Arabidopsis thaliana: one gene and its partner. The protein of the gene in region 2 interacts with the protein of the main gene of each other region in a pairwise test. Each region holds a gene or a part of one and is shown on either strand. Other genes may lie near its edges.

The links.
Region 1: the proteins of RTV1 (region 2) and ITN1 interact in a two-hybrid assay, tested with the Arabidopsis thaliana proteins (one study listed by BioGRID).

What each region holds. Positions count from the first base shown.
Region 1 is NC_003074.8:3,932,008-3,937,369, reverse strand, and holds ITN1 (Ankyrin repeat family protein), read right to left. Parts: upstream 3,371-5,362; 5' UTR 3,225-3,370; coding exon 3,200-3,224; intron 2,873-3,199; exon of another isoform or gene 2,780-2,872; coding exon 2,273-2,779; intron 2,191-2,272; coding exon 1,781-2,190; intron 1,706-1,780; coding exon 875-1,705; 3' UTR 612-874; downstream 1-611. Other genes in the region: AT3G12350 (F-box family protein), read right to left, coding at 4,266-4,703, 4,914-5,362. UniProt on the Arabidopsis thaliana protein: Involved in salt stress tolerance. May act through abscisic acid (ABA) signaling pathways and promote reactive oxygen species (ROS) production.
Region 2 is NC_003070.9:18,313,466-18,318,854, forward strand, and holds RTV1 (uncharacterized protein), read right to left. Parts: upstream 3,397-5,389; 5' UTR 2,844-3,396; exon of another isoform or gene 2,569-2,843; intron 2,186-2,568; exon of another isoform or gene 2,158-2,185; 5' UTR 1,996-2,157; coding exon 1,764-1,995; intron 1,679-1,763; coding exon 1,479-1,678; intron 1,380-1,478; coding exon 1,131-1,379; 3' UTR 652-1,130; downstream 1-651. Other genes in the region: AT1G49475 (AP2/B3-like transcriptional factor family protein), read left to right, coding at 1-185, 279-283; AT1G49490 (Leucine-rich repeat (LRR) family protein), read right to left, coding at 4,098-5,389.

The DNA of each region.
Region 1 (5,362 bases), on a different chromosome or scaffold from region 2:
CAAAAATAATTTGTTGGAATTCTCTTAGAAATTGCTATTATGGATTTACTCTTTGATTTTGAGCTTCGATTTCGGAACCAGTGTTACTGGATTTTGTTGTAGTGTATTGAGCTTGGCTTATCTTCTTCTGTTGTTTGCTAGAAGAGAATTGGTGAATTAGTAATACTTGTTGTGGACTTGCAATCCTCTTTGACACCTTAATGACTGTTACTGCATCATCCAACAAGTTTCAGGTAAGAAATTCTAAATCCAAATGTGTTGTTCTATGATGTATTTGGACTACACTCTTGCCTGAAACAGTTGGCTACCAATTTTGGTTTTGTACATCACAATCTTAACATCTACAGTTGCTGGTGTAAGGAGTTTACTTCCATGGCTTATACTTAGTATTGATATCCCTTTTGAACCCAAAAATAGCAAGCCTCACTTTATTCTTGTGGTTTTTGGATCGTATGGGAGAGAAATCGAACGCTGTTATCTACTCTTCTCAGTGACTATTCACCTCTCTCAATCTAAGTTAAATACTATCATGGTTGCGTCTGGTGTTTCCTTAGATTTCCACAACTCCAAAATCTTGGTTCAGAATCAGTATACAGCCCAAGAGATTATTTGTGCTTGGAAGAACCTCAGAGCTGTGCAACTGAAGTGATTGAACATGAATACTACAAATGATTTCCTAACAAAGGAACCTTTGCTTTTCTTTGCTTTCCGAAGAAGACAATTGTTAACTGTTTTACAGATGAGTTGAGCAGTGTAAACCTTTAATGGTTGACAATAGTGTTTGCCTTTTGATGGTCAGGGGGCTTTATACACTAAATAGTCTAGCTCTCTTCACCAAATACAACAATATATATACACGATTCTTTTACGCATCTTAGATTGCGAAAATAGGATCAACTTCCGAGTTAGAGAAATCTGAATGATGCCACGAGTTGGAACCACTCCTGCGAGCACTCTTCACCTTCTTCCTCATCGACCTTGTCCTCTTCGATTTTACCACGTAATAAGTCATGGTTCCAAGAACACCAGCCATTATCACACCCCCAACCACGGTCACCAGCTCAGCCGCCCACTCGTTCTTACGCCCAACCACTATGTATGAAGATGCCAAAAATGCCACAGATGTACACATCGATGCCAACCACATGAGTTTGTTGATCACTTCCACTACCCTCTTCTCAGCTTTTGTCTCTCCTCTCACCAATGTGATCTGGACAACCACAACCGCCAGAGACGTAAACAACGCGAGTGCGTTGAAGATGAAGAAGATCTTGAATGATGCTCGGCCCACCACCACTGCAGACCCGTCATTGTTGTCTCCTCCCGGCACTGTGAATATAGCAGCAAAAGCTACAGTTGCAAACAATACAGCCACAACAGTTACAGAATTGGTTGCATTGTTGATCCCTTCTCTGTGGAGTTTCCTGAGTTCTTTTGAAATGTTGTGCACGTTTTTGTTCGTCCTTTTCGTCTGTTCCAGCTGGATGTGTACATCGTTCTTGATTTGGGTGACAGTGCTTCTCAGCTCGTCCCTTGGCTGGTTCAGCTCATTCGCCCTAAGAGCCCCGCTACGAGCAAGACACTCTTTTATGTATGAAGATTCTTCTGAGAGGGGAAGTCCTTCTGCTATGTCAAGCGCTGTCTTGTGATCGCGGGTTAAAGTATTGGCGTTGGTATCAGGCAGTGACAACAATAGTTCTACAATCTGCAAGTATATGCCAAAATGTGAAGACCCAATCAAAAATCTCAAAATGAACCACACTATCAGGGTGATGCATACCTCTGCTCGTTTTTTCCTGGTGGCAACATGTAACGCTGTGTTACAAGACTTGTCCGGTTGCATAACAATAGCAGGATCTGCATCAAGAAGCAATTTCACTACTTCAGAACTCTGGCCTTTAACAGCCATGTGAAGTGCAGTTTGTCCTTTCTTGTCAATCCGTCTCGCTAGCTGAGGATCCTTGGAGAGAAGAGCTTTTATGACCTCCACATGTCCTTGCCTTGCAGCTAGATGCAAGGCATTTTTATTGTTAGACCGAGAAATTTCTAGCAAATTCCCAGCTTTGGATAAGAGCTGGTTCACAACTTCTGTATGGCCTCTCATAGCTGCAGACACAAGCGGAGTTGCATTCGATGGGCCAAATGTCTGGCTAAGCGTCGCATCATGATCTAGCAAGACCTCAACAATAGCTGCCAGAAAGAAAAAAACATTCTTATTCACATACTGTAGTTCATTTGATCAAAAGCCTATCGACGAGTTAAGGAGCATTACCATGATGACCCTGTATGGCAGCAATATGAAGTGGATCATATCCAGAACGATTCTTCTTAGCAATACTCTCTCTACTCGAATACTTCAACAGCTCTTTGACAACATCAAGATGTCCTTTATCCGCAGCAGTGAAGAGCGCCGTCTCCCCTAACTCATTCACCTCATTCACAATCGATGCTCGAATCTCCGCAACTTCAGCATCAAACTCTTCCCCACTCAGAATCCCTTCCATCTGAGAGTTAATATCCTTGAGAATCTGCTGCACAGCAGCCAAATCACCTCGTTGGGCCGCTAAGTGAAGCTCGGTGTCGTTGTGGCGACCCGTGACTTGCTTAACATACTTTTTCTTGCCAGCTTGATCCATTCTCTTGCCTGAATTAGACAAAACCAAAGCTGGGGCAGTAGCAGTTGCAGATGGTGAAGGTGTTGGTGAAGGATCTATCATAGGATTTTGATTCTCACTTGACTGTAGTAATATCATTCCTCCTTTCTCCATATCTCTTTCTCCTGAAAAATTTCAGCAGAGAACAAAAACCTCAGGATTCAACTACCACACAGATCTAGAATATAAACAAACACACATCTCTATCTGAATTTTGGGAGACTCCAAACATGAATTCAATTATTCCTTCAATCAAGTTTATATCAATTTGGATATAATTATAATAATACAAAATTCATGTGAAACATATGGGTGGTTCGGTATTTCACAGACAAGACGAGGGACCATGAAGATCACATGTCTGAAGATTCTCTCCGACAATCATGCAAAACAATTAATCAGCTAAGAGAATATTTTATATATTTCTGCCTAACGAAAACTAACCAAAATCGGATCAAAAGTTTATAGATCGTATGGAACAAGACTAAAAAAGTTGAGAGATGTGTACAAGTACAAGTAAAGTAAAATTAGAATGATTGGGTTACCGTCTACATAGGATGAAGCAGCCATGAGTGTAGAAGCTCGAAGCTGTTAGAGAGAGAAAGGTGTTGCTGGATTGTGTATTTGAGATGTAATTTGGGAAAGAGAAATGGGAAAGTGAGAAGAAGAAGGTTAGATATAGAGAAAAAGGAGACTCTTCTCTTCGTGTGGTCAATGGCATGACTAAAATATTTGTACTCCTTTTCTTACTTTTTTGTTTTCTTTTATTTACAAAACCAACCTCCAACTTTATCTATATTACTGAATCGACTCTCTTTACTTTGGAGACAAAAATTGGCCCTTTGGAAGGTAGAGACTCTAACACCATAGCTTTTGTGGGCAACAACGGGTTATGTTTACTTGTGTCCTCAACATCAAAAGATCTGTCAACAGTTTAGTCAAGTTCTGAATCCAGTGATGATGCTTAGCAGGTAGTAGGTTTACCTCTGGAATCTGAGAACAACGAAATGTTTATACAAAAAGGTGTCGATGAATGCACCATGAGTGTCACTCTCGTTGCAGTTTGCAAACGGAAAGAGGGATCGTAAAACAGAGGCAGTGAAAGCCAACAAAGACAGTGGACAATCTCATGAAGTTCAACCATGATGCTCATATTCTAGATATAGTCTATACTATGAACAAAAACAGGGCAAAGCTTGGCCATGTACTATATTCTCAAACTGGCCACCACCAAACAGCACAATGCATTAGCCTCACTGCTTGAAATTCATCTCCGGGAGCAGCTTCATAGCTACACGGGAAATGCTGCTGGAAAAGCTTTGCTGTACAAACCGCATCATTAACATTATACTGGCAAAGTGGCAAGTGTATGCAAGTTTATTATTCTTTTTCAACAATTGATACATGAACCTCTACAAATCTCTTATTTAGAACCATATCTACATAAACAAGTAAAAATACAAGGTGATATTCCATCATCCTAGTTTACGTCCACTAAAATGAGACTAAACTTGAAAGTTCAAACTTCTAAAGTCACCAAACTCTTTTATGTACAGAAAGAGGTGATCATCTATCACCATCAGAATTTAAAAATCACAACCAAAGAGCAAATCACATACAAGCTTCTACCTCGTCAGCTAGACACCCATCTTCCAGAGCAACACGTTTCAGATCAATGATAAATTGATCTCGAAGAAACCCGAAACCGAAAGTCCCATTGTCATACAACCAGACCCGCCCTTCACCTCTAAGAAAACCAATGCCATTGCCAGGTTCTCCTGGCAACACCAGATCGCAGCTAGACTTCATGTACAACATTCCAGATACAACATTTTCATGAACTTCAGCGAAAGGGCTAATATGGATTCGACTATTCAGTAGCAGCTCTTCTTCAGCTGAAAAAGGAGATCTGATGAACGTATGTTTGGGTGTCCAGAACACAGGAGGAGTGTACCGTGAGAGGGACAAGTCCTCTACTTTTCTGCATATAATGCCTCCAACTTCATCATATTTGACCAAATACAACTCGATGCTTCCCTCACAGAAACCCTGCCGAGTTCAAGAATCATGGAGATAAACTACTTAACAACACAACCATCATCATTACAACGAAGATAACTAATGAAAGATTGGTCTATTCAATCAACTAGACTTAGAAAAAAACCAAATTTTGCATTCCCTTTACCTTAAAGACAAAGGCTTTTCTCAATCTCAAACATTATCAATGAAAACAATATGATAAGGAGTTATAATTGAGACCTTCCATAAGCCTTGTAAGGGTCTAGTAGGCGTGGGGGAGCAATCAGCAACTTTGAGAAAGTGTTCTGGTTCCCACTTAGTCCTCGACGCTTGCCTCTCCTTCTCCTTCCTCTTCTGTCTCCTCCTGTCACCGCCTGGACTCGTCTTATTCGCCAATTGAGTGTACATTTCCGAAAAATTGGGCGATGAGATCAAATCATCACTCTCATCCCCTGAGCTCCTCTGGTCTTCTCTACGATTGTTGTTGGTAAAACATCGATTCTCCTCCACCATGATATGACCATTCCCCATGAAATTCACATCCACCGAGACGAGATTGTTAGAAGCTTCTAATTCTTTCAAATCATCATCCACAGATCTGAGATTACCACCGACGAGATCCAAGAAATTCTCAGATCGTCCCTCCGGCGAAATCCCCATTAAGAGAAAAGGTGTCTTCTTTACCTCAT
Region 2 (5,389 bases):
GATTGAATATCCATTGGATGATACTGATGATAATAGAGAAGAAGTTATGGATGATGATGAACAAGGGTTTACTGGTTTTGAAAGTAGTGATGATGATGGTGAAGTTGTTGATATGGATGAATTGTTGAAGAAGAAGAAGAAGAAACCAAGAGTCAACATTAAGTCTGAGAATGTCATAATACTTGGTAAAATGTTTATAAGACATTTCTTAAGAAGGATTTGTGGGTTTTGTTTGTATCTTTTATGTGATTTCTTGTTCTTCTTCTTCTTTGTTGTAGACTAGTAGATGATGTTGAAGAGATTGCTATGAGGAGTCTTGAGGAAGAGGACTTGAAGAAGAACTTATGCAAGTATGTTTCTCCGACAAAGATCTCTGCGGTTCCTAGCTCGTTAAACCACATAATAGTTCTTCGGTTTTTTGTTTCTGGTTTCTAGCTCGTTAAACAGATTTGCAAGCTTTAATTTTTAGTAAGAACTTGGCATTTTTAAGACCCGTTGTGTAATATGTGTAGTGGAAATTCTTGTCAAGCCTGGCAAGAACTTTGTAGTAAGAACTTGGCTAACTTGTGAGATCCTGTTATCAGTTTGTGTGATGTAATGTGTATGTCGAAAAAAAAGCTTGCCCTGTCTGAAATATAGCAAAAGCAATTCCTCATTCAAAAAAGAGAAATCCAAGCTTTGATTGGTAAACCTTAGAACGGTGAAATGATTCTGCAAGTTTTACACAATAATATTTTTTTCCCCCTTTGTCGTGATATTTTCACCATCTTACACCTCACAGTTAAACCAACTAGAACAAGCTTTGCCAACTACATTTATGGATTCACCCACACAAACCCATAATAATCAACAATTCAAATAAACATAATTATCCTGATGAAGATAAAAGTATATACAACTCTACTTTTGAACCTAGCTACCACTCAAACAAAGAGTTTCCCACTCAGAGGTTATTATAATCGTCAAATACTTATCCACATCCAAACATAGGAACCTGAAATTTCACTCAAAACACTACTAGAACAGAGACAACCAATGCAAGAGAGAGAATGGTTAAGAGACCCCTACATAAAATTTTAACTTTGGAAAGCTACCTGCAAGATCGCTGATGAAAGGGAAATCTTTTTTGGTCACACATACTCATTGACACGAAAGGCGGTGACTTCGAGAACGAAATCCCGAGTTCTGAGTAGCTCAAACACACATACATCTCCTTCGCCTATATTGTTCTCGAGTGTGAACTCATACCATCCTTGGCTAAACTTAGCTCTCCCTGCTTTGTAGAGGCACCTCACTGGCCATTGTTTCTCACCGAGCTGGAGCTTGATGAAACCAGATATCCCACTTAGGTATTTCTCAGCAAACCCAGATGGCAAGTACTGTTGAACAAACAAAAAACAGAAACGAAGAAGTCAGCAAGAACAGGTCATGTTAACCCTAATCTTGAACCTTAATTACAATCTTTAAAAATTGTTTACCATGATGCAACCTCTGTATAGATATGATGGTCGCAGAACAACTCTAAAGTAAGGATTTGTTGGTTCGAATGTTTTGGCTGCATTGACGGCTCTCTCTCTTTCCTCTGCAGTTACAGTTCTCTTTCTAGCAGAAGCACTCTCGTAGAACTTTGAGCGGTTCTCTGAGTCATCTCCACCGGGAGTTGAAGAGTTTACTTCCTCTGCACATACCAAAACAATAAATCTTTTGACTCTCCTCTGAAACAAAAGTTAATACGTAATTAAGAGTCTGTCTCTGATACTTACCGGGATTAGGATTCTTCTTCTTCCTTCCTCTCTTCTTAAGTACCTTGGGCGTTTCTTCAGCTTTAGATTCTTTGAAAAAGCTTTGGATGGCTGTAGAACCGCCATAACCTTTATTCACTGGTTCAGTAGATTCAGGGTTCGATGGATAAATGACCTTAGCATCTTTGAGTTCAGGATCTTCAAACAATCGAGCACGTTTGTTGAACTGATTCTGTGCGGAATCCATTTGCATAAGAGCTTCACTACTAGAATGGTGGTTGATCTCAGAGTGTGGAGGATAAATTGAAAATGTAGACTGTAACTTTGTATCTGAAACCAATCCGAATGGAGAAACGGTTGACAAACTCCTGCCAACCGTCTTGAAACCAGATTTTGTTGTTGGCTTTCCTTAGTCCTACATGCAAACATGACCATCAGGTATTGTAAGTGCAAAAACAACTGAAAGCTCAGAACCAAGTAATGACCAAATGACTTCACTTTGATCAACACATACTATTATTTGGAATCAACAAACATTCATAAAACACAGTGGCTGGAGAAAAGAGAGTTTTGCTGGTTAAATCATAATCCCAAGTCAAGTTATTAGTCAAACAGCTTAAAGCAAAAACTCTCTTTTTATTTCTTATAATCAAAACAACGCATGCTTCTAGATCTATAAAGTCCACTCATAGTCTTTAAACTGAGACCAAAGTCAAATCTACAGTCGGAAGCTGATAATTCTCAATAAATCTGACAAAAGACACAACCTGAGCAGTATTCTGATGTCAAATTGAATCAAAGACATTTCAAAATTTCACTGACTCACCTCTCATTTCACCACAAAAATCAAGACTAGATTCAGATTTCAACCAACCCTAACAAAGAAACAGAGTTCCGATCCCAAGTTCCATTCGAATAATTTACCAAAAAAAAAAGACACTTTATCACTTCATCTCACTCAATTTTCAGTACCCAAAAAACAAAATCACATCTTTGGCAGTTCTAGACTCAAACCCAACACCAGTTTCCTCAATTTTGTCAGAAACCAAATACAGAACCAAAAAGAACGAAACACAATTTGAGAGAGAAGAGATCAATTACCAGACGCTTGTGTTGAAGAAAGGAAGAGAGAATAAACATGTGGAAGAAAGAGCGTGGCATATTCAGATAAATCAACAGTAAAAAGAGATAAAAGGAGGGACCAGAATTATTAAGCCAAGGAAGATGGGTCAGAGATCATTTAAACGACGCCGGAGAATCCGAAGCAAAACCCTTTTACTTCAGATCTGAAACCAGTTTTAAGTTTTTGCTTTTGGTCAAATGGCTCGACCACACACACTCTCTCTCTGGTTTAAGCCTGACCCAACATAAATATTTTTAAGAAAGAAAAAAAAAAACCAACTTGACCTTGAAAAAAAAAAGCTTGAGCGTGTCAATGTGTGTTTCTCCTTGACTCGTAATGGAACCGGTGAGTTGACTCGTTTCGTGTTTTTGTTTTTTGGTTAGCTAATTAAAAACTTATCGTCCCCACCATCTTCCCCTTTTCCACCTAATTTTTATCTCCTTTTTTCGCAATATAATTAATATTTTTGTCCTCTTTAAAGGATATAATAATTTATTTATTTCCCTTTCTTGCTTTTTTTTTAAAGTTAACGGATTATAATCTTTATGCTATCAAAAAAAAAAACTAGATTATAATTCAGCAAGAATTATTATTTAGTACAAATTTTAGATATTATATAATTTTAATAAAATTCTAATTTTATTATATAAAGTAAAAAAATTTAAAATTGTTAACACATGTTAAGTACATTAATGAGATATCAATATATGTTAAATCTAATTTTGTTAATATATTTTTTAATAGAAGATAAAAATTTCATAATTCTATCCGAATAAAGAACAAGTTCAATCATCTGGTGGAACATGAAACCCTAATTCAATTATTTCATACATAATTTTATTTATCATGACTTATGAAAAATGTCAAATAATTCATGACATAGTTATGAAAGATTAAATGTGTATAATATTAAACTATATGTAGCTAGTAAGATATTAAATTTTACAAATATAGATATTTATGTTTTGCTTCTCAAATAATAGAATAGAAGTCATAAAATGGCCAAAACAAATGATAACTTCTTTACCCCGAAAAAACAAATCGCATCGTGTTATAGTTCAATACTTCAATTTCAACAAAAAAAAATCTGCTGAAAGATAATCTACTATATAATTATTGGCATTTTAATTTTTCATCTTTGTAATATCTTTTTCGTTTGATACAAATAATTCACATGGAAAAAATGGACAGAAATGTTAAAAATGGGTAACACTGTCACTACTACATTGGTTTTAATATCCTTGGAACATTGGTGGTGGTGGCGATGCATATTGGAATCCAATGTGTGGTGGTAGGACGAAATCCCCATCATCATCATCGTCGTTGTTTTCCGGTGGTGGAATAGATGTGTCAGTGGAAGGAGAAGATGATGGTACTGATGATGGATTGACGGGTGTTGGTTCTGGTGCTTCAACTTCTTCTGATTGTTCTGGTGATGAGACCGGTTCGCTTGATGGTGTTGGTGATTGGACCGGTTTAGAGTTTGGTGTTGGGGCATGAACCGGTTCAAGAATTGGTGTTGGAGCTTGACTTGGTGACTGGTTTGATTCTGATGATGGAGTTGGTACTTGAGATGTTTCAGAGGATGTGGTTGGGGCTTGAACCGGTGTTGGAGCTTGAACTGGTGACAAATTTGGTGCTTGATATGATTCTGATGATGATGGAGTTGGCACTTGGGTTGGTTCAGAGGATGGGGTTGAGGATTGAACCGGTGTTGGAGCTTGAACTGGTGACAAAATTTGTGATTGATCTGATTCTGATGATGGAGTTGGCACTTGGGTTGTTTCAGAGGATGGTGTTGGTGCTTGAGTCGGTGTTGGAGCTCCCATTGGTGGTTGGTTTGTATTATGTGTTGGTGGTGGTGAGAAAGTTGGTGGAGGCGGAGAATATACTGGTGGTGGTGGTGAGTGGCTTGGAGGCGGTGGTGAGTATACTGGTGATGGTGGTGGTGGAGAGAAAACTGGTGGTGGTGGAGAGAAAACCGGTGGTGGTGGAGGAGAGTGAACTGGTGGTGGTGGTGATGGCGGTGGAGGAGAAGCAACTGGTGGAGGTGGAGAGTAGACATGTGGTGGTGGTGGTGATGAATAAACCGGAGGCGGCGGTGAGTGAACCGGTGGTGGTGGTGAGTAAATCGGTGATGGTGGTGATGGGGAAGGCATTGGTGGTTGTGGTGGTGGTACACGTGTATCCTCTACCTTGGGTGGTGGCGGAGAACGACGATTTTTAACCGGAGATGCATCATATGGATCATCCGGTGTTGGTCCTTGTGCTTCATTTGGTGGTGAAACCGGTTTAGTAGGCTCAGGTATCTGTGGTTGTTCAGGCTTAGGTGACTCCTCTGGTTTTGGTTGTTCTGGTTTAGGAGAATCTTCAGGTTTAGACGGTTGTGGTTTAGGAGACTCCTTTTGTTTTGGTAGCTCATGCTTGTTTTCCGGTTCTTCCGGTTTAGGAGATTCATGCTTTGGTGGCTGAGGTTTAGGTGAAGGTTGTTCAGGTGTTTTTGGTGTCTCGGGTTTTGATGAAT